4 linked regions of the Schizosaccharomyces pombe genome follow. The gene in region 3 interacts genetically with the main gene of each other region. Each region holds a gene or a part of one and is shown on either strand. Other genes may lie near its edges.

Region 1 (5,965 bases), on a different chromosome or scaffold from region 3:
CTGTTTGTATGTTTAATATCAATAGAAGTTTAATTTTTTGGCTCATTAAGTATTTACAAACATTAATCTTCATCTTCAATCGGATCATCAATATCTTCTAAAACTTGATCTTCATGCGCTTCAATAACGGGATCAGAAACAGATCTTTTTCCATAAATTACCATATAATCATCAAAAATGCCTCTTACAATACCTTCGTTGTTCCACTGTTGGAATCGAAGTTGTCTCCACTTTCGTGGAACGGGAGACGGTAGATAAAATAATGTACCTTGAACTGAAAACCACGTAGATATTTCATCTCCCGTGTAGGAGTACGGAAAATCATGGGACAAACAGTCAGATATGCTCAGCAAATCACATACATTAAAAGCCTCATCCGTTGTAACGCAAGAATCAACGTAATTTTCAAAAAGTCCGTAACGAAAAACAGATCCGCTTAATCCACTCTGGTTGATTGTCGATTCGATATCCACCAAGCTTCGTCTTTTGGAAGTAAAGCATTGATCAACATTAAGCATTCGTTCTCGCTGGTCACTTTTTAATGAAATACAATTCTTGTTTTCTTGGCTTTTACTGACTTTTACTCCCTTTATTCGTTCCGAATTGCCCGTTTGCTGAGATGAAGCCTTTAGCACTTCATCATCTCCTTCCCGTTTGTTCCATACAACTTTTCCAATGGCATGCATCATTCCAAGGCCAACGTCCTTCTTGAAAAACGAATTCTCATTTTTATCGGATTTTGGGATATACGCACTTTTATAATTTTTAAATCTTGCGTAGGCCTCCGAATCGCTTTTTGACAATCGTTCAAGAACCTGCGCAGCTTCTAAGCTAAAATCATTCCCCTTTCCTTTCCCCTCTTTTACTTCTCTAATATTTTTTGTTCCTTTCTTTTCAAAAGATTGAGAGATCGATAATTGTAAGGAATTTATCGCACTCCTCAAATCCCCTTCGCTGGCAGAACAAATATTCTCCACCAAACTCAACAACTTTGGAGACTTGGGAACACCCTCTTTACGTAGAATAGAGCCAAGGCATTTTTTCATGTATGTCGGCGCAATAGGATTAAACTGTAAAACTGTTACACGTGGATCCTGAAGTAGATCATTACCCATTATCTGCACGCTATTAAAGGAATTTCGATCTTGACTATTAATACCTTCCAAGTTGTTTAACTGTATTTCTGTAAGAACCATGATGATGGAAAAGGCGCCTCGCGATGTCAATGCGGTGCGAATGACATTACGAAAAGCATCAAGAGAGCCATTGAATTTAGAAAGGTGAGGAATTTCATCCAAAAAAATAAACTTTTTCTTTCCTTGTGCATTTTTTCCACGCTTTTGAATATTATTTGAATCCATAAGCTCTAACTCTGGATAAGTTTCGCATAAAGACATAAATCTACTAAACTTTTCCGTGAGCGAAAGTGTATCTGATTCTTGGTTTGAAGGCTCTTTTAGGTTCATAGGGTTTAGCCATTCTATGAGACTATAACCTAATTCTTTAGCCAAGACCTGAACTGCGGTACTCTTTCCACAACCAGAAGGACCACAGATCAAAAGTAACCTCTATGATTTTGTTAGCCAAGAAATATTTTTGAGAGAATTAGGGGAGATTTAACATACACTTTCTAAAGAATCCGTTAACATCCATTGCTTAATTGCACTTATTTTGCTTTTATGCACGGCAAGATCAGCCGCTTTTTGAGGAATGTATTTTTCAAACCAAACTATGCGCACCGTTAATTTTTGAACCTTTTTAAATTTTCTTACGTTGAAATCGATCTTCTTTTAAATTATTGAGATGAACAATTTTGTTTTCTTCATCAGAAAAGGCTTCAATATCTTCTTCATGAATATCGGTTATCGAAGCATTTTTGTCGCGTGAAGTTTTTGAAACTAGAGAAGGTTTTTCAATCTTTCTTATTTTCTTCTTTTTTAATGATCTCTTTGTAGATTCATGAAACGACAACTGTCGCCTCATGCCAGATATATGTTTTATTCAACAAAGAAATAGGAAGCTAAAGGTAGAGACTTTGTAAATCATTAGATAAAATATATATTAATAGTTCACAAAATTTTAACAGCACAAAAAAACGAGTGAATTGATTAATTTACTGCTGACAAGTAAATGTGTGAACTAGTGAAAATATACAAGTACTGTATATGGAAGAGAATAAGTGAGTAGGTTTCTTAAGTACTCTGAAACTGCTTCCTATAAAGAAGAGTAAAAAAGACATGTGTATAATTTATTTATAAATCATTTATTTGTACATTTCTCTTATTGTAAGATATATTGCGAAAGTATTTATTACAAATTTACTTTTTTTTCTCATACTGTAAACAATGATCATCAATAAAAAAGTTAGCTTTTTAATTAATGAACATCTGAACGATAAAGAATGAATAAATAAACAAGTAAAATAGTGATATATTTCAATTGAGAAATTACTCTAATGGACACAGAAATGTATTTCTCTTCATTTATAAAATCAAACAATTGGCATTTTCAATTATGTCGTATATGAGTGCATTAGGAACTAGCAGCTGGAAAGGCAAAGCTGTAAATATTAAGAATATAGTAATGAGTATATTTAACCTTGATTTGGATTGCGACATTACACTGGAAACCAAAGGAGGAATTGTTTCATTAGAAGCAGTCTAATAATCCAATGTTGCTGCATCAAAACTCCCTATTTTGTTGATAAACATAGTTAGCCGAGCTCTAACTCTTTAAGAACCGATATGAACTCCATTGGGAAATGAGCAAGAATAGAAATCAACCAACACTACAGAAAGTTCATACCCATACATCTAATGTGGTACTTTTAATCCCCTATCCATCAGTATTTCGCTTGGCTTAATTATATTTGATGGGATGTATTTCCTTTTTGGAATTGATTTTTCGCATAATACTGGAAACAGAAACCCTTGTGAGCAAAGAAAAACTTGGGAAACCCACTTGATTAATATGGCAAATAATTTTTTTCTTCAAAATGGCATTTATTTTCCATTTTGTATTTACCATTCAAGTAACATGTTTTTTTGACAACCTAACCCTACCTACCGGTTTCGACATGTGTTCCATCCATCCTTGGGATTTTACTAACACCAACAATCGTTTGGCATAAGGTGAAACTTGGAATTGCTGTTGGCTGTAAATTTCATCTAAAGTCGGTCGCTCTTTTGACTTTTGCATAAAAGAATTGTACATAAAAACAACAATTTGGAGTAATTTCAGAGTCTACTTGATTTAATTGAAAAGGTTATCGACAGCTTGCTCGACTTTATCAAGGAAAAAGGTAAGATGAAATCGAGTCAAACGCTTGTTTATTCGATCCCTAGAAATGTGGAGAAGGACACATGTGCGGCAGCCATTAAGGCATATCAGTACCTAATATCTCCGCCGCCTTCTCCCATTCCAAATGACAAAGTTGCAAGTACTGTTGATGTACCTAAGTGTTCTACAATACCTGAATCTCCAAAAGATTCTATTGTGGAACCAAAGCCGACAGCAACACCTGTTGCGCAACTGCATTCCAAGGTTTACGATCTGTACCGAGATTCACCTAAAATTTGGCTTCGCCGAGAAAGGCAATGGCTTCAGCGTCATTCTCCAGCATACAGGTTTTCGACTCCAGCTGCCAAACGTCCAAGAAGGCAACCCAGCTCGTTTCTGGATGTGCACGCTTCTAATACCCGTAAAAGAGGTTCTCCTGATACGCCGGACTCGGGACATTCAACTCCGCATTCAAAAGGAGATGTTCATCCTGGAATGCCTCAACATAATACGCGTTTCAAGCAGTCCAGTAGGGAGTTTTCCTCCAACACCCAGGCCATTGATGTCGCCAATACACCATATGAGCTATTGCCTGATTATTCTCCTGATATGTCTGTTTTGGATAAACGTTCTCATCCTCGCCCCCTTCGTAGCGAATGGAAGGGCCCTCCCCTTGATCTTTCCAATGATGAGAATAGACACCTTTTACATCCTGCTGAGCTACAGTTGGCTGCAACACTTCGATTGCCTTGTCTCGTTTATCTTGACAATAAGCGTAGAATCTTTGCTGAGTGGCACAATCGCCGTACTCAAGGCCTAAGCTTTAGGAAAACAGATGCTCAACGTGCTAGTCGTGTCGATGTGAACAAAGCTAGTCGTCTTTGGAAAGCTTTTCACGATGAAGGTTTCTTTGACGACTAATTCGCGAATCGTTCATAATCCTGCTGGCCTTTCAAAAAATAGATTTTTTCTCTCTTTTTCTCTTTTGGCGGGTTAGGGAAATAATCAAATTTAAAAATTTCGAAAAACCACGGATTTCATTTTCGTTGGATTATTTATTTTTTTCTAGGTGTTTTGAATTTTTTGTTTACAATCATTTGCATCTCGGTAAAACCTTTCTTTTTTTTTTTGGATATTTCGTCTTGAAGTCGGTGTCCATCGTTTTATCTGGCCAATAACCAGTAGTATATACCTCAAGTCCCTCTTTTCTTCCTTCGTTCACTTTTTGTTTTTTTATCCTCCCAAAGATGAAAAGCATCATGTAGTCAGCATTTGTATTAAAAAATTCATTAATACAGATGTGAAATAACTCTCTTTTAAAAACGTTCGTTTCTCCTATTTACAGTAGATATTGTTATTTTTATACCTAATAACCGATAACCATCAGTTCCCTAATCAGACGGATTTTAGGGGTTTTTAGTTATTTTACTCTACTCAATTAGATCCAATGCTTAGCGGATAATTAATAATTGATTATTTATTCTTTGCTATTAAATTAATTAAACCATAGAAATTATAATGGATGTCCGACGTTAATATCCCAGTATTAATATACCCCAGTGTTGTAATGTAATGAATATATGGTCAAATCCAGCTTTTCTTAATCCTTGCAAAAAAAGTAAATCGACACGTAAAAACTTGCAATACCCGTGCAAATTTTAGTAAAAACCGATAACATATATCCCCAAACCAATTAACCAATATAATAACCCAAGAGCCCTGCTCTAAATGAAGTTTTCAATCTTATTGCAATTTTCAACTTCACATTGCATCTAAATCAAGAATTTACTGAAATGTTATCTTCTAGCTTTCTAAAAATTTATTGCATTTAAATAGTAAATCCAACGTGTAATAAAAGTTGGAAAAATCCCATGTTGAATGATATCGAAACTTCTCAAGTAAACAATTTAACAAGCAAACGATCAGGTTCAATGAGATTTTGATAAACAGCATCCTTAAGTGCAAATGACATGTTGACAATAAGAGAAATAGCCAAAGCTGTTCCTACAATCAATGGGCCCCAATAATCAGTCATTGGCGCAGGACTGCGGGACTTGATCATTTGAGAACGCTTGGCATGAAGCTTCCAAGCATAGAACCCAATGAAAATAGCTAAAAGAGTATAAACTACTCCAAAAGCCTGACCAAGTCTTTCTCCAGCACTATTATATAATGCAAGAGCAAGAGAACCAAGCAAGACCACGACATGAAGCCACTTCAAAAACGTACGCTCATTTGCAAGCCAAACTTTGGCCTCAACCTTAATCGGACCACTGACTCTAAGCGGAATCTCTGGTTTCTTGATATGGGGTGGAGTAACAAACGTTTTACCATGATGCTTAAACGATCCATAAGTAGATGGCTTCAGCAAACCAGGTATGCTTCTGAAGTTGAAATGGTCTCCGTGCTCATTTCGATACACCTCTCTATTATCTTCGGGCTCTTCTGAAACAGGGTGCATTTCATTGGCCTTTAAACGATTGACCAAAGGTGAGGGTTGACTAGGTTCGGGTGTCATATTCTGCTTTAAAACTCTTTGATTCCTACGTTTAATGTAAACATTTCGAGAGCCCGCAGATCCCTCGGGATGGGAGTACACCTCTTGAAGATCTTTTCGAATATCTTGATCCATTGAAAATACCCACATTGGTAAAAGAGATACGTATTTTTCAAAAAGAATTGCAAC
Region 2 (5,409 bases), on a different chromosome or scaffold from region 3:
GTCTGTACCTAATTATTTTGATAACGCGCTTTTAATTTCAATAGAAAATTAGTAGCAGATTTTTACAAAAACTATTCATCGTTTTAATCCAATCCTAGTAGAAAAATGAAACTCACTTAAATTTTAATCATCATCCCAATGAGGGTTGGGGCCAGGTGGTTTTGGACCTCCAGCTGGTTTAGACATAACAACTTGATCAACGTTTAAAACAGTGAGTACAGTTTCAGTTGCTAATCTAATTGCTGATTTTTTTGCTAATAAAACATCAAATATACCAGCTTCTTTCGCATCTAATGTTCCATCATTTTCACATTCAACATCAACTCCAATTGATTCACCGTTTTCCTTATGATGGGCAGCATAAAGTTTGCTAATAACATCAGTAGGATCTAATCCAGCGTTTTCTGAAATAGTCCTAGGAACAACCTCAAATGCTTCTCCATACTGTTTGATTGCATGTTGATATATACCAGGAGTTTTTTCACCAACTGAAATTAGACGAATACAGAGTTGCATATCACTAGCTCCAGCACCAAAGATTAAACGGTTATCTTTGACCAAAGCTTTTACGATATTTACACCATCATCAATCGCTCTTTCCAAATCATCCAAGTATGTCTTAGTAGCCCCTCGAAGCACGATTGTTGCAGTACGTGTAATATCCTCAACTTGACGGAATACAGTGACACGATCACCACCAATCTCAATCGTCTCAACAACATCGACGGATCCCATCTCTTCAGGCATGGGAACACCCATACGAGCCAACGGGGTAGCGCCAACCACCCGACATAAGCGACGTAATTCAAATTTGCTTGGCACACGAATAACAAGGATTTCAAATCTATTCAAATAATGTAAAACTAAGTCATTGACATTGCCACTAGTGACAACTACCCTAACACCAGCATCGTAAATTTCTTTAATGTGAGACTCAATAAGGTTCTCCTCTCCTTTAGAAAAGTCAAGCATTTCTTGAGCATTATGCAACAATACTGTGCCTTTTGTTTCGGTTTGAGAAATATCCAAAGGGCATGAAAAAACAGCAACTTTAGCTTCTTTTGAACGTGTAACGGTGCCCTCTGGCTCTCTAGGAAATACCATGCCCTTTACAACCTGAGAGTTATAAAGGCTACTTCCCATAATTTTAACCACACGGATATTGTCAACGTTAAACTTGGATGGATCTTTGGGAAGAACTGTGAGGATCGCTTTAGCAACTAAATCCGAAAGGAAATCTTCATTTCCATATTGCTTAGAAGATATACAAGTTCGAATTGCTTTAATAAGCTCCTTCTCACTTTCAACAGTCTCAATTTTATCAGCACAAATTTCCTCCAAAACCTCCATAGTGTGTGATAAAGCCATTTCGTATCCTTTAGCAATTTCCAAGGGAGTGAGACCCATGCGAATCATGTTTTCAGCCTTGGCTAAAAGTTCACCTGTAAATACAACCACAAAATTTGCAGCATCACCAAGCTAATGGTTAGTAAACAGAAAATGGTTTTAAGAGCAAATCAATGTACAAATATTTGAAGTATAAATAAACAAAGTAAGCGTCAATACGATAGAGTTATATAAAACATGAAAACGTTGATAAAAGGGTAATCAAAGTGCTTTCTAAAATGCCCTTTTGTAAGGCACATGAGTGGATCAAAAGGTAAAGGAAGCTTAAAATAAAGTCCGCAAAGAAAAAAAATCCGCTTATTTAATGTTCAAACAAGTGTATCTCAAAAAAAATTGTACAGTTAATGAATTAACTTACCTCATTCTCCTGTTGTTGGGTAGCATCGACAACTAGTTTAGCAGCAGGATGAATAACCTCCAATTCACGTATAATGGTCGCAGCATCATTCGTCAAAAACGTCTGTTGCAGATGATTGACAACTATGTGTGTGTTAGAGAATAAGAAATGAAATAACTGTTTGAGTCAACATACCAATTTTATTTTTTCCATTTGGACCCAAAGAGGTACGGGTCTAAAAGTATCAGTAAATGAATGAAACTTGCTTAATAAATTATAGGTCCTTACGATTTCTGAAAGTTCACGAATAGCATTACAATTACGGATTACTGCATCCTCTACGCCCTGCATAATCCGATATCCTTCGCGAAACAGTTGAGGCCCAGAGGCCTTTGGAACTCGCAAAGCCATTTTGTTTACGAAAGCCTTTATGTCTTGGTAAAAGTCAAGTGGTGATTAGCCAGTACAGTAGTAAAACTATATTTCGGTATTGAGCAACCATCCTTGCATTATGTTAAATAAATTAGTGATTTCAAAAGTAAAAGCAAACGACTTCAAAAGTATATATATAGTATTTCTCAAATGTTTCCTTCGTACAAAAAGTTATAGTAGTTGTCTTTTTTAAAAATGATAAAATATTTACATTAAATTATAGTAAACTTTTCAGTAACCCCTTCCGTTAACGCAGATTTGGTGAGAGAATAAATAAGATATGCATCACTCAAATAAAGGCTTTGCAATTATAAATTTTGTAAACTTAATATACCAACAATTGTAACTACTAAACTCAGTACAGCCAGTATTAAAACAAAAAAAGAAGCAAGTTATCAATTAAACATTATCATCTCATTTATAAGTAACATTCTTAAAAATTGCCTTGTATGATAGCAGTAGAATGAAGAAATTTTGTTTTGTGGAAAGAAAAGAAGACAGCAAACCCACAGGTGATTTAATCAACAAATCTTGCCAAGAACTTCTTGTGAAACTCGCTTCTCAACATATCATTAACAAATCCAGGCCGAGGTGTGTCATCAACCCCTTTATGTGTATTCCTAAAAACAACGTCTTCGTCCCATCGACGCTTAACTTGAAAAGACCCTGAAGAAGCTTTATTCAAAAGCTCATTTCCAAAAGCTATTTCCCGTTCCCTTTTTTCTTGCTCCAGTGCTCTGTTTTTCTCTTCCTGAAGCATTTGCTCTCGTTTTCTTTCTTGTTTTATATTTTCCAACTCTCGAAGTAGCTGTTGTGTCTCATCTTCTGAATCGGACTCTTCGTCCGAACTTTCTGAATTTGATGAGTCAACGGATTCTTGAGAATTTGATTCTGTTTTTCTTCTTTTAATTGATACCTCAGAATTTTTATTTGAACTATCCACACTGTCGTCGCTATCGCTAGCATCCTCGTCCGCCTCCAAAGTCTGCCGTAACAGCTCTTGATAATCAACCTCAACATCGTTATTGGGTTTATCGTCCGTTGAAGGGGAAGTGAAACCTTCTATGAGTTTTGAATTCTGGCTTACTTCTTCAGAAGAGGCACCATGTTCTTGAGTTGCAAAATGTGCAGCCTCTGCACGTAACAATGCCTCTCGTAAATCCTGTTTTCTGACCTCTTCCTCAGTTCCTTGAGATTCTTGTCTATATTTTAGTTTTAAATGAGCTGGTAATGCGCGACTAGACGTTATCCTAGTAGGGGCCATTTCTGAATGCCCCCTAGCTGGATCAAATTGGGGTCTCTAAACATGAGTTAGTTTTAAATTATAAAATAGAGGATATATATGTAAATTGAGCATACATGTGCAGTCGTCATATTGAAAAAATATGCAATTCACAACTGTTATTATTGAGACTATGTTGGTGGAGTGCAAATACGATTACACCAAAAAATCTTAATATTTACTCTTGCAAAGTAATCATGATTCACTACTTTAGTAAGTATTCACTCTTAAATTCTTATAACGTTCTAAAAAACGTTAATTGATAGAACTGGATTTATTGTTAAGACAGGTAAATAACGCATCAATTGAACCACCTGGAAGGAAGGTATTTATTTTCATAAATTAATAATTACTATAATTAAATTTGGCAAAATTGCCAACAGATAAGCGAATAATTATTGATCTTTCTTGGACTAAAATGCATACTCAGCGATAAACTCTCCATAGTAAAGAATCATCGCAAAAAATTCCTTAGCTGTGGGGACAATCTGTTTAGCAGGTAATAAATATCCCTTGTTTAATTAGTAAAAAATTTTAGAGATATCAACTTACATAATCACCCATGTCTCGTAATCGAATATTGAAAGGCCATGCTACATCAGCAGCAAAATAAACCCAGTCAATGGCAGTTCCAGGTAGGTAATGTTTATGAAATCCATCATACGGTATACATGCTTGTTGATATGTGTAGTATCTACTATTTACGCGATGCAACTCTTTAACTAAGCCAATTGCTAATTCCTCAAAATTCTCAGTATCAGGAGGAAACAAGTCGCAGGTATATGCATAAGGCCACAAAACTAACTTAATTAGTAAATGAAAATAGACTGTCGAAACATACCAGATTGTGAATACGAATGCACATCAAGAAATCCAACGACCTTTTTCTGCTCTTGCGACAAGGATTCAGTTATCAGATTGAACAAGGCCATAGTTTCGTTAGCCTGAAAAGGTGATAATCCTCCATATTCTTGAGTTTGTTAGTTGTAATAAGTCATCAAAAAAAATAGTTCGCTTACCGTTGCTGCAAGGATCAATATTACCGTTGAAGCCAAATGCCCAATTCGCATCGAGATTTATGCCAAAACACTCGGAATTATTAAGAGGCTGTCTGTTTTTTGACCACTGACAAATAATTAGTATATGCTTCATTACAAACCACTTACCAGTCTATCGTTTGACCATGTATATTCATAACCATCAACGTTTAAAACTGGAATAAAAATCCATTCAAATTTATCCAAAAGCTTTCGGACATGACCATCGGAATCATATTTTGCCAACAATTGCCATGCGGCATAGCAAACAGATGGAATACCTATCCACTCACGAGCATGAGATCCTCCTTGAATAATAATCACTTTCTTGTTACGAATCTTTTCCCCGTTGTCGGAAGGATGTCGACCGTTCAATTTTAGGCCTAAAATCGTTCGACCTTCCGCTGTAATTCCAACTGGAACTAGTTCACTTAAATCTTTGTAAAGGGACGCCATCAACCTCAACCAGGAATTAATCGATTCTAAATTCTGATATGACTTGAAAAAAATATCCGTAAAGGAAGTAAACATTTCGTGATTTAAATGACCATTTTCAACGGCTTGAAGGAAAGCTTCTGTGGAAAAAGGGGAATTCGTAGTATCTGGAACAATGCTTTCAAATAAGGTCTCTGTCAGATTGTTTATAAGTATGTCACTACGATATTGACTCTTCCAAAAATCAAAATTTTCTTCTTTTAAACGTAAATCCACATGATCGAAATTGTAGTCCCAAATATCAAGGTTTTGACTTTGAGCTTTCTGCAAGATATCGCTCAAATTATTTTCTTCTTCCAAATGCAAACGGACTACTATTTCTTCGTTATAATCAGGAATTTTTTCGGCCCAAATTAACTGTTCTTCTGATATGGCCGCAGTCTCGCCATTAAACCCAACGTAACTGGTCATCCAAGATC
Region 3 (6,549 bases):
GCTTTACCAGAGCTGGACAAGGATTTATTAAAATTCGTTTGGGTCGTGGATTTTCCTCTTTTCTCACCAACCGAAGAGAAAAATCAATCTATTACATCTACACATCACCCATTTACTGCTCCTCATTGGGATGATGTACATTTACTGGAAAAAAAGCCTCTTTCTGTTCGTGGACTTCATTATGATATAGTCGTGAATGGTATTGAATTAGGGGGTGGCAGTATTCGCATACACAATCCAGATATTCAAAGATTTGTGCTTAAAGACGTGCTTAAATTACCAGAGAATAGGTATGCTACATTTGAGCATTTAATACGCGTATTGTCTAGTGGCTGTCCACCGCATGGTGGAATTGCATTGGGTTTTGACAGGCTGGCTGCGCTGTTGACGAATGCTCCAGGAATTCGCGAGGTCATTGCTTTTCCGAAAACCTCTTCGGGTGCTGATCTTTTAATTGGCAGCCCGTCTGCTATTCCAGAAGAGATGTTGAAAGACTACAACGTTGCTATTACGCGACAAACTCAAAACCGTAATTAGATAACTTAAGCAAAAACATTAATCATTTAATTTTTTTTATACAAAATTTTAATCTAATGCTCATAAATGGGAACACGACCACGCAACCTCGCGGTCATAAATCGGCTCATTTTAGGTTTTTCATTTCCATTCTCATCCAAAGGTATAACTGCCTGTTCTTCTTCATCCTTAATATATTCACCTGTATTATCTATCATTTTTTTTCTCAGTTCGTAGTAACGTTGTGATATAGCTCGTTGATCACTAATTTCCTCGACTTTCGCATCGAATGCTTCTTTAGACTCGCTAATTTTGTCAGATGGAGTTCGTTCAACTACAAAATCTTTTACTACAGATGGTTCATTTAAATATTCCTTGGAAGTTTCCGAGCTTTTTTCTTTAGGCGGTGCTTTAAGCTCGGATTCTACAGTAGATTTGTCTTCTTCTTTTGGATTTAACTTTGTATTCGCAGCCCGATTATTTAATGTGTTACTCAAATCATCGTTCTTGATTGTACATGTGGCATTAGAATGGTTGCCCTCTTCGTTTTCCTTTGCGCGCAATTTGCTCCTTGCTTTACGAAACGCTGAAATACGACTCTGAAAATCGTCTGGTCCAAAAAGATTATCGTATTCTTCAGTTGGAGCAGGTATAACTTCAATATTCGCCTTTCCACTCCGACTGACGTGTTTAATTTCCAGCGTGTCTGAAAAATGTACCTTTCGAGGATTTTTTGACGAAAGCTCTTCTTGTTCAACGATTTGTGGAAAGTCACTGACATTTAGGCTCTCGTCATTACCATTGACATAAGTTGTAGCACCAGTCTTTTCTGTAAAATATTGAGGATCCGGTGGAGCTTTCAGTTCCTTGGAAAATCCTATCGTCATACCATGTTCATCTTCCTCAGACTCAGAATTATCATCTAATTCGCCTTCCTCCTCCATTTCCTGAATGAGAGCCTCCATATCTTCTAAAGAGTCTAAACCGTCGTATTGTACTGCTTCCAAAACATTTTGTCCTTGCGCAGTCGTCGGAACTGGTAGTAACATCGGTTCTTCTTCGACAATTTTATTGTCGGCATTATCTGGTTCTTCTATACTACTACTTCTAGTTTCGTTTATAGAATGAATAGATTCATTTCCTAGTGAAAGCTTTTCACTAGATGTAGCATGATCTTTGTTGCCAGATTTTTTTGTTTCTAGCTTAGCTTGTTTAAATTTTGAAAGACGCTTAGGTCGTTTTTTATGTTTAGACGTGCTAGTGTTATTATCTTTATTAGATTCCCCAGTATCTTGGGCCTTCGCTGTCGGATGCTCTAACACAATGTCTCGTAAAACTTCATTTTGGGTATCTTGATGTCCATTTTCATTTAAAGTAGAGTTATTGAGAGCATTCAATATCGTTTCTTTATTTTTTTCAATAGCAGAAGCGTTTGACTTTATATTTGAAGTAGTTCTGTTTTGCATTGCATTATTTTTTTTGAAAAGAAAACCCTTTTTAAACAAAGAAGTCTTGCTACCATTTTTAATTTGTTGAACCATATCTGAATCACTCAATGAAGCAGCCTGACTATTACTAATAGGACTCTCATATGTTTTACTGTCTGAATGATCACCATGTTTGCTGGGAAATTCTGAGACACCAAGTGTTGGAGTTGAAGTAAATTCAGTATTAGAAGGTAATGAGCCCATTTCTGGAGCTTTGTAGTTAATATTTTTCGTAGAATCGTTAATTTCTTCTTCAGATAGCTCTTCAATTCTCGAAGATGTATCACGGTTCCCCCCATTTTCAATATTTTTGAAACCAGGAAGGGATCGAAAGACATCCGCATAATCTATTACAGATGAAATTCTTTGTGGAGCAACAGAAGCACTTATAATATTTCCATCTTTATCAACTTCTTCATGAATATCCATAACAGGTAACCCTTCTGAGTTTCTTACTATCAACTCGGATTTCTTCTTTTCAATTGAAGATGCTAAGTCATTATTGTAATTTCCCAAAAGTAAATGAATATGATTTAAGACTGGATTTTCATTAGCAATTAGTCGTTTGATGAAGCAAACATTATCACTCAATTTATAAGAAAAAGTAACGTACAATCCACATGGGATGCTGTTTCACATCCTTCAACTTTTCCATCTTCCTTACAGTAACGGATCGCCCTACCGACTGATTCAGAAATTTCGCTAATCTTAGAGAAGATTTGCTGTTCAAAATTGATGGCTACTAGTCTTTCGTCGTTCATTCGATAAGTTGTTTTAAAGGATCTTAAATAGAGTTATTGAAGAATTTCTAATTCAAAATAATCTCACGCCAACGATCGTTTCGTGGTTATTCCGGAAAAAGGCATATACAGCTTATTCGGGCAAGCTAATATTCACTTTAAAAACGAGATAATAAGTAATTCTAATAAATTTTAAATACTTTTAGTATTTAAATAACAGGGTAACTAATATAATATCGAAAAATCGATGTTAATGGAAATGGCTCAAACTGAGTAGGAAGCCACCGACCTGACCCTAATGTACGTAGAAAGCGCCATACTGCAAATGTCCTAAGCATCTAGTAATTTGGTCCCTTACTTTAAATTTTAATATTTTCTCACTGAAAATAATTTAAGTAAAAGCAAATGCATGTCTTAATCCTATAGGTCCAACAGTTTAAGCAAGTATAAAACATAATTTGAACATTAATGGGGGACTATTTTGCCTGGGATTTTGCAAATATCTCTGGGAGTAATACTTCTGGCTCCTTAAATTTAAATCAGTTGAACTGTAAGCGCTAGCAATGATGGTTGAGTTATAAATCATTCTGAACATCCCAAGCGTAAAATAGCTAACGGATTTTTCTAGTGGACAACATAAATAATGGTTTGCATAATCAGGAGGATGGAGCTGGAGGAAGGAATGAAAATTCTGAAAGAGTTGGAAGCGGGAGTCCTGGAAGTGTTTCCATGCAGGTTTTGTCTCTCTTCAGTGCTGTAAACTCAGCTTTGGCTACTTTGGAAAAATCAGAGGAATTCCCTTCTGTAGTTAAGGATGAACAGTCAATTTTTCCTGCTGTAGCAAAGGCGTCTAATTCGTTGGACGAGCTGGCCCAAAACATAATTCCTGCTCCTTCTCCTCCTGGGTTTAATAGAAAAAGAAAAACCTTTGATGAAGACAGTTCTGTAGAGATGATCCGAAGAGCCATATCAGATCATTTGGATTTACTGAACAATTGTTGTATTGGCATTGCTAATTTGAATGAGGACAGTGTGCACAAAATTTCACTTACACGTTCAGGGAAACCTAGTCAGCTGGTAACAGTTTCGTGTCGACATTCCTCTGTCATACAAAAGTCTTATGGGTCAGAGAAACGTTACCTATGTCCACCCCCTATGGTTTATATTAATGGGAATTACTCTTCTATATTCAATCAGTCTTTTCGCACTGAGATATCAATAATGAATGATTTTGGGCAATGTTCGCAACCCATCAGCGAAGAATACACTGGCCAAGGATGTATGATTTTTCGGTCACTGCATATATCGAGTTTGGTCGCTGCGAAATCTAAAAACTTACGGCTTTCTCTGGACATGTTCTCGAATGTAAATAACCAATTGTTATCTCATTTGGTTACTTCTTCTATTAGTATTGTCTCCAAACCTTCGAAAAAAGGAAGCAAACTAAAAATTAGTAATATTACGTTGCGATCCGGTTCAGTCGTCAGCCTTTATAACCGGATTAATTCACAAACTGTACGTACAAAGTATACATCGATTGAGGCTGGTCAGTTTTGTCTTCGCGGTGATAGATGGGTGCCATTGCGTATTAACCTGCTATTACCAGATGAAAATGGTAAACTGAAGGTATGCGACGATGTCGATAACCCAGAACCCATTAAATATGGCTCCATCGTTGAATTGGTCGATGAAGCAACAGGAACGACGAGTGACCCTTTAATTATTCGACGAGTAGAAAAAGACCACATTGCTGAGGAGGACGGTTACGTTAATCAAATGCATAGAATTGTATTAGAAAGCGCATATCCCATATCAAACGTACGGCATCTTAAGATCGCTGAGCATAGTTCACTGGCATATTCCAATAATATTTCAGTCCGTTGGTTTCTTGGGGCCACGTCGGCACAAAACAGAAATGCATCTAGTGAGGCTATATTGCCCATAGAATGGGAAGCTGTTGGAAACTTGAGTTCAAATGAAATGACTCGAGTTGGAGATTCTGTATGCTGGACTATAGTGGGCATATCACATTTTGACTGTACGATGATGTTACCATTCAATCAAAATCCTGTACCAACGGTTACTGATTATCCATATATTGAAGAGCCACCCGAATATTTGGAGAGCTCGCGCTCATTACAATTTAAAATTGGAGGCTATTCGGTCGGATTACAAATTTGGCTAGGTGTTCATGGACCATTGTCGTATAGTTTTACCGCAGCTGCTGATACGAGTACAATGGGTACGGTCACTCTAGGTCTGTCGCAAATTTCATATGATCCTTCTTGTGCAGAACAAAAGTATCCTTTGTTGTTCGTGATTCCAGGTGGGATTGTCATTATTGGAAAATGCGAGATTTTGCTAACGTCAAGTGCTTTTGGAAACTGATGCATCATGATTAATTTTACGTGTGGTTTCATATGGCGAAATATTGAAATACAATTTGTTTTCAAAATGATGGAATTAGGTTGAAATCTCTCTTATTAAATGAACTTTATATTGTACAAACATCCTAGCTTATGGAAACTCTAACATATAGAAAGCAGCGGAAGCTTTTGATAAGATAATTGAATCGTCGAAAATATGTACTTAATAATTATGATTTTCAAAAGCTGCAAAACAGAAAAACTTTTAATAAACTAGTAAGGTGTCTGTCGAGAGCTGTCGATCATATATTATGTGGACCGTAATCGTTTCTCCTCGGGAGGAGTTGCTGTATCCACTTCCAAATTTAAATATCTTTTATCTGCTTCTCTTAAAATTTTACTATAGCAAATTCCTTCAACTTTTGAAATGCTGTTCTCCATTACTGATAATTTCTGCTGTAATTCTGACTTGACCTTAGATGGTAAGTGTTCAATTTCTGAGCAGTTTTTGTGTAGTCCACGAAGAAATTTAACTTGCTGAGTGAGTTGTTGGACAGAGAACTTAGAGCCGTTGGTTACAAGGAATCTCATTATTTCACCAGTCATGTCACAAACACCGAGTACATAGTCGATGAAATTAATAGAAATTCTAAAGCTACTATCTTTACAAGAAAGTAACGTACCTGTTTGTAACCAGAATTTGAAAGTGACAGCTTCAACATACTCTTGAAGGCCGTGTGTACAAGCAGAAGAGAACTTGTCTGCATTTAATCCAGCCAACTCTCTCTTCAGACTTTCTAGTTCTTTGTGAATTTTTTTTTCAAAAATGGATGTTCTGTCGAAATCCTTGGGTAGAGGAAATCCATCAGAAGAGGATGTTTGATGTAAAAGAAAGATCATTCGTTTACTTTGAATTGTGATTTCACGAGAAAGACGAATAATTTTCTCCCTCTTATCTTGATCCTCCTGTAAAAAATTTTTAAATGAGAGGAATTCCTCTTCCATATTTGGCAAATTCGGTTAAAGTTTTATAATATCCTCAATTCAGCAAAGCCGTGTGGAAGGTATAAATGTATAAGTCTATATTATCAATTGAATTAAATGCAAATCAAGATGACTATTTGTTGTTTAAGAGACGAAATATTGTTTAGTGGATCATTGAGTAAGGTTAGTTGGCTCTGTGCTATGAAATTGAAATAGTGATTTGAGCTGCAGCAGGACAATCGACCATGTATGGAATGAAGAGAAAATATTGTTAATAAAGATCGGTTAATAGGAATAATGAATTTTTTTGGTTATTTAAATTTACTGTGGACTAAAGCCATTTGCTTCTGACAATAAAATCTTGAACATGTGAAAATAATAAATATATAAAGAAAGAAATTTGAGCTTTGCTTGAACAATTCTGAAAATAACTACCCAAGTTTTTTGTCATTTCCA
Region 4 (5,602 bases), on a different chromosome or scaffold from region 3:
ATGTTTGGTTAGCTGCGCGACCTTGCGTCTAATATTATCGCGTACCCAAGAACTCGTGTCCGAATCGACCATGGTGTCCCGAGCTTCAGTCAGTTAGCATTCAAAACTATTTACAGCTTTTTTGCATACTAGTATCGAACATAAAAATCACTCATTTTCGAGCAAATAGGAATATGATGGCTTCGATGACTACTGCTGAGAGGTAAACTCTTGGTCAAAGATACGAAGCATATAGTGATTCACTATTTTAAATAACACAATACACTAGTGCATCCAATTTTTGGAGCTCGACAATCAAAGTTCGTGGGTAATTCAATATACAGTGTATCTTTGATGAATTCGTTGACATTATATATTGACTGCTAAGTCTATATCTGTAAATCAAAGTCTTTTAATTCCTTAAAGGCTTTTTCCAAATTCAGGTTAAATCTTGACAAGTTATTTTTCTGGGACCTTTTAACGTTCCACGACTTATTTCACTGCATTTACAAAAGTTATTCTGGCACTGTTGCATCTTTTATCGCTAGTTTGTGATCCTTGGGTTGTTTTTTATTAAGACTACGGTTTGATTTTTTTATTGTAACATATTAAATCGAGCTTTTGACAGGCTTCATTTATGTTATTTATATATCGACATTCACAGCTGTCATCCAAAAATATTTTTTTTAAAGGTAGCTAAATAAAGCGAAAGTCGTACTCACAGATTATCTCAAATCAATTGTTGGTCTCGACTAGTTAACCAAGGCACATGACATGTTATATAAGTTTTAATTCACTTGACAATTATCATTTTGGTTAATCTCTCCTTCTAATATGGCCTTTTATTTAGAAACAACCCCTTCTAATCTACCGGTTTTGGATCCTTCAGAAGAAATTTTGCTAGTTCAAGACCAGGTAGGTTTATACTTCGGAGATGAGAAAAGTTTTCGTCATAATAATGGAACATTATATTTGACAAAAAAACACATCTTCTACGTAGATTCAGTAGATCCTAAAAAGAATTCATTAAAAATTAAAATCTCCGATATAAGAGATGTACAGCATACCTCTAGGTATTTTCGCTCCTCCCCAAAAATTCGCCTTTCTCTGCGACATGTGGAAAAGTCATGGGCTTGCAAAATTTGTACATTTATCAATGTGGGTGATCCCATTAATCCTTGTAGAAACTGTGGAGTTGCTAACCGATTTACTATTATAAAGCCGAAATCAGATGCGCGTTTTTCTCAAGGATTATGCACCGCGTGTACTTTTCAAAATTATCCGGATCTGAATACTTGTGAAATTTGCGGCAATCAATTAAAAAATGTCGATAGAAACCAGCTTATACAACTCTCGTTTAGAGGCTCGGGTTCATCCAAGTTTTACGAAGCTATCAAATCTGAAACAGATGAAATAGAAAAACAAAGATACTCGAATAAATATGATACTAAAGTTCTGAGGAAGGCCATCCTTGAAAAGTCTTTGCGAATGGGTGGTATTCATGATCTTGAGCAATCTCATGAGATGCAATTAGCCAAAAATGGACGTACCTTAGTACATGCGTTTCAAGATTTAGATGCTTTTTTTTCTTTAGCGAAAGATACTATGTCTCTGGCTGACCAATTTGCTGAAAAGATGGATGGGCTGACCGGCACTCAACAGTCTGACAAGGTACAGCAGCTTTTAAACAAATCGAATCAGTTAGGAGTGTTACGAGGAAATCATTTAGATAATGTTCCTGTTTCGGCTAATTCTCGATTGTATGATATTGAACTATGTAAAAGTATCTCAGAAGTTTTACGCACAAGGTTAAAAGCTGATACCGATACGGTTACCATGACCCAGGCTTGGGCCATCTATAATCGGTCAAGAAAAGCAAACCTGATTCCTCCGACCAGATTTGTGAAGGCTTGTGAACTAATAGATTCCATGGAGGTTGGTATAACAACGTCCAAAATGAACTCTGGGCTTATCCTTTTTCAATTAAAAACTTCTAATCATTCAGGAAAACTTTTGTCCGCTATATTGGAAGTTATGAATCCTAGCACTACGGCTTTGAAATGTGCAATGAGGTTGCATTGGTCCATTGGTGTAACGTTAGAAAGACTTTATCAAGCTGAGATGGACGGTTACATTGTACGTGATGTTTATGAAGAATCTGGTTCTAGCTTACTATACTGGAAAAACGAATTTGACGAATTATCAGAAGAATTGACTAAATGGTTTGATGAATCATAGGAATAATAACTGTACACTATCTAATTAATATTCATTCCTTTTAACATTGTATTTTTCTTTCGCTTTAGTAGATTCCTCTCTACACACGCCTTAATTAATATGACTACCTGTTATGGGTATTCGATTCCCAACGTAACCATTTAATCTTAACCTACACCTATTTTATTTTTAATTCATTTGAGAAACTGTTTACACGATAGTTTCAAGAAATCTAATATATCAATATTAATAATTGTTAAATATGGAGACGTACGAGCAAGAATATCGGTATGTCTAATACCATTACAAGTTTACTAATAATTAGCTTGCTTCGAGCAGATATCGAAGAAAAACTTAATGATTTAAGTAAAAGTGGTGAGAACTCTGTTATTCAATCATGTCAGAGACTTTTAAATGAAATTGATGAAGTAGTATGTTGGAATAATTTGTGTTTTTAAAAAAGTGGCTAACTTGCAGATTGGTCAAATGGAAATTGAAATTACCGGTATCCCTACTTCTGAAAGAGGTCTCGTAAATGGAAGAATTCGTAGTTATCGTTCAACTTTGGAGGAGTGGCGTAGACACCTGGTAAGTTAGCTATATCGAACATTCTTCTTTTGAAGCTTTACAGAAATTACTATGAGACAATCTACTTTTATTTACCAAATTCATACTAACAATTTTCTCGTTTAGAAGGAAGAAATTGGCAAATCAGATAGGAAAGCCCTTTTTGGAAATAGGGATGAAACATCCGGTGATTATATTGCAAGTGATCAAGATTATGACCAAAGAACTCGTTTGTTACAAGGAACAAATAGACTTGAGCAATCTTCACAGCGTCTTCTTGAATCACAACGGATTGCGAATGAGACTGAAGGCATTGGTGCTAGCATTCTTCGTGATCTTCATGGTCAAAGAAATCAATTGGAGCATTCTTTAGAGATGGTAAGTAATTATTGCAAAATAGATAAATGAATCACTATGATTGATAAGATAAAATGCGCGATTTATACGCATATCTTAGCCAAGCTTATTAGCTCCATGGTTTAAAAATATAGTTTTCTTTTATGCTATGTATAAATTTCTTTGAGATTTGTTAACCAAATTAGCTTGGAGATACGTCTGGACACCTTGATCGAAGTTTAAGAACTCTGAAGACAATGGCAAGAAGGTAGGACACAGATAGACATTATTATAGTGATATGAATCGTCATGTAATGATCTTTTATACTAACTCATTTTAAAGACTTGCCATGAACAGATTTTTCACGACAGCAATAATTGCAATCCTTGTTATATTAATTTTGCTTGTGCTTTATAGCAAATTTCGTTAGCACAAATATTAAAGAACATCATATAACTTTAGATGGGATCTTTAAGCGTATGGGTCTCTTCCAAGTGGAATTTTACGTTTCTTGCATAATTCGCCCACATTTGACTAGCTAGCTCAACATTCATATTAGACATATTAATTAGCTTTAAGAATGTCAGCGGAAAGTTGATATGTACACAAATATTTGACGTCGTAATCTTACCTGTAATGAATGATTGAGTCTTGTAATACTTTCATTCAGCTTTTCTACATTACTTATGATCCTTCCTAATAATGCGCTTTGCTGTTCTTCCATAGGATTATTCATTTTCGATGGTTTTCAATTTCCTAAACTGTAATTATGTAGTCTGTACTTGGAAGCTTGCATGAGCCAGTGCTGACACTTCGTAGTTGGAAAAATTGAACTACAATTTTAAACCTGTGATCTAAATTTTTTTTAAGAAATTGAACTTTTTGGGAATTTATGAGTTGCATATTTATTTGAGAAGTATCAGTTGATGTTACCACCTACATTTTTATAATATATTTACGATCAAAAGGGCAGTTTAAAATATAAAAAATAATAAATTTTAATATGAAATATTGATTGAGTAAATTTTTATAAAAGGATATTGAATAAAGGATCCAAGAAATAGCCCTCCATAACGCGTATAGAAACAAATATTTATGAGAAGCAAAACATCCGAATAGTATAAAGAAGTGTGTAGTATGAAAAGGTATCAGTGCTAGGATATGGTTTATAGTGTTGTAAATAAATTATCTTGCACACCAAATTTAAGTACTTGGTCAAATGCTAATATTTAATCTCTTGATATTACTAAAATTAGACTTACTGTCGAAAATGCTGCCGACGAATGCTAAGAATTTGATCCCTTTGTGCAGGAGGTAATGCGTTAATTTGCTCTGGGGTAAGAGCCAACAATTGTTGTATGAGGGCCATCTGTTTTGTTAGTGCAAAAAAAAAAAAAAAAACGTACCCGCTTCCCTTCATTGCCCTGATCTGAACCATTCGCTTGTTGACTTTTATGGTTACTAGAAGGTATTTTTTGGGGAACAGAAGGAGGAGAGGAAGTTGCTGAAGCTGGTTGATGCATGTTTTTATTCTTCACTGCGACTACTACTTGTTGTAAGACATTTGCGTCAACTAAGTTCATCAGCAACATAGCTTGAAAGGCGGCGTATGGTAAAGCAGGATTAGCAATTAGAAGTCGTCGTGCCTCTTCTGGTGCTATATGAACTACAGTCTGAAGTTTGGACAACATATTGAGAAGTTCCTGAGCTGAGAAGGTAGATAGTACCTGAACGACAGACGGGGCCAATGGGATAGAAGTCGGATTCGATATAGAAGTCCCGGAAGTGTAATCCCCTTTGTTTTGTGAAGATTTATTATACTGAAAGGTTCTTGCATTGTATGCATCTGTATGGGGTTGACTGGCAGAATCAAAGTCGGAGGTCATACTGTTGTGAAAATTATAAGCAGGAACAGAAGTAGAATTTATATTTTTATTAAGATTAGTAGCCATTGACGACGAATAAATAGCAGGACTTGGCATCCCACCTCCTTGTGAAGCAGGCAGGGAAGATGTTGAATGCAAAACAGGAGGAATAAAACGGGAATTATAAGAACTTTCATGAGCATTTTGCTGTTCCATGTATCTATCAGTACGCTCCGTATATTCATAACTTTGATTCCTTCTGGGATCATTTGATGGAAACTCGACACGAATCTTACGAGGTCCTAATTCGGAATTATTTAACTTTCGTACAGCCATAGCGGTAGTCTCACTATCAAAAAACTCACAAAACCCATAACCCTTCCCACTACCTGTTTCCGGATCAAGTACAAGTTTGAAAGTCTTTACTGGTCCAACTTGATTAAAGATTTCAGTCATTTGCTGTTCCGAAACATCATATGGAATGTTACCAACTAAATTAGATTAGCAAAACCGAATATTTAAAGAATTATTACCAAATACGACATTCCCGGCTGTCATCGACATGCTGGTAGTCGCGTCTTTCGGTTTTGCCCATTCAACCAACGTACTGCTACTACTACTACTACTACTTAAATCA

What was found.
Region 1: mutations in uri1 (region 3) and laf1 together harm fitness less than expected from each alone (positive genetic interaction), as found in Schizosaccharomyces pombe (one large-scale study listed by BioGRID).
Region 2: mutations in uri1 (region 3) and cwf15 together harm fitness less than expected from each alone (positive genetic interaction), as found in Schizosaccharomyces pombe (one large-scale study listed by BioGRID).
Region 4: mutations in uri1 (region 3) and dad4 together harm fitness more than expected from each alone (negative genetic interaction), as found in Schizosaccharomyces pombe (one large-scale study listed by BioGRID).

The regions. Positions count from the first base shown.
Region 1 is NC_003424.3:5,249,376-5,255,340, reverse strand, and holds laf1 (clr6 L-associated factor 1 Laf1), read left to right. Parts: upstream 1-3,106; 5' UTR 3,107-3,306; coding exon 3,307-4,200; 3' UTR 4,201-4,821; downstream 4,822-5,965. Other genes in the region: RFC-like checkpoint protein Rad17, read right to left, coding at 63-1,568, 1,626-1,729, 1,773-1,983; vtc2 (polyphosphate synthetase), read right to left, coding at 5,174-5,965. UniProt on the Schizosaccharomyces pombe protein: Component of the RPD3C(L) histone deacetylase complex (HDAC) responsible for the deacetylation of lysine residues on the N-terminal part of the core histones (H2A, H2B, H3 and H4).
Region 2 is NC_003423.3:1,038,424-1,043,832, forward strand, and holds cwf15 (protein Cwf15), read right to left. Parts: upstream 3,607-5,409; 5' UTR 3,551-3,606; coding exon 3,536-3,550; exon of another isoform or gene 3,477-3,535; coding exon 2,694-3,476; 3' UTR 2,565-2,693; downstream 1-2,564. Other genes in the region: chaperonin-containing T-complex theta subunit Cct8, read right to left, coding at 124-1,479, 1,766-1,887, 1,940-1,979, 2,033-2,155; ecm14 (carboxypeptidase), read right to left, coding at 3,872-3,970, 4,011-4,258, 4,300-4,428, 4,478-4,583, 4,625-5,409. UniProt on the Schizosaccharomyces pombe protein: Involved in pre-mRNA splicing.
Region 3 is NC_003421.2:324,331-330,879, forward strand, and holds uri1 (prefoldin-like protein), read right to left. Parts: upstream 2,765-6,549; coding exon 2,617-2,764; intron 2,543-2,616; coding exon 591-2,542; 3' UTR 538-590; downstream 1-537. Other genes in the region: dar2 (aspartate--tRNA (Asp) ligase), read left to right, coding at 1-537; DNA-binding transcription factor, CBF1/Su(H)/LAG-1 family Cbf11, read left to right, coding at 3,212-3,293, 3,372-5,131; tfx1 (translin family protein), read right to left, coding at 5,419-6,114.
Region 4 is NC_003423.3:4,002,499-4,008,100, forward strand, and holds dad4 (DASH complex subunit Dad4), read right to left. Parts: upstream 3,885-5,602; 5' UTR 3,837-3,884; coding exon 3,732-3,836; intron 3,704-3,731; exon of another isoform or gene 3,673-3,703; coding exon 3,559-3,672; 3' UTR 3,531-3,558; coding exon of another isoform or gene 3,443-3,530; 3' UTR 3,368-3,442; coding exon of another isoform or gene 3,306-3,367; 3' UTR 3,142-3,305; coding exon of another isoform or gene 2,890-3,141; 3' UTR 2,785-2,889; coding exon of another isoform or gene 2,674-2,784; 3' UTR 2,628-2,673; downstream 1-2,627. Other genes in the region: mnh1 (protein mago nashi), read right to left, coding at 46-83, 130-155; ESCRT II complex subunit Vps36, read left to right, coding at 814-2,217; SNARE protein Vti1, read left to right, coding at 2,459-2,484, 2,522-2,627, 2,674-2,784, 2,890-3,141, 3,306-3,367, 3,443-3,530; cleavage and polyadenylation specificity factor complex subunit Ctf1, read right to left, coding at 4,359-4,469, 4,507-5,456, 5,499-5,529.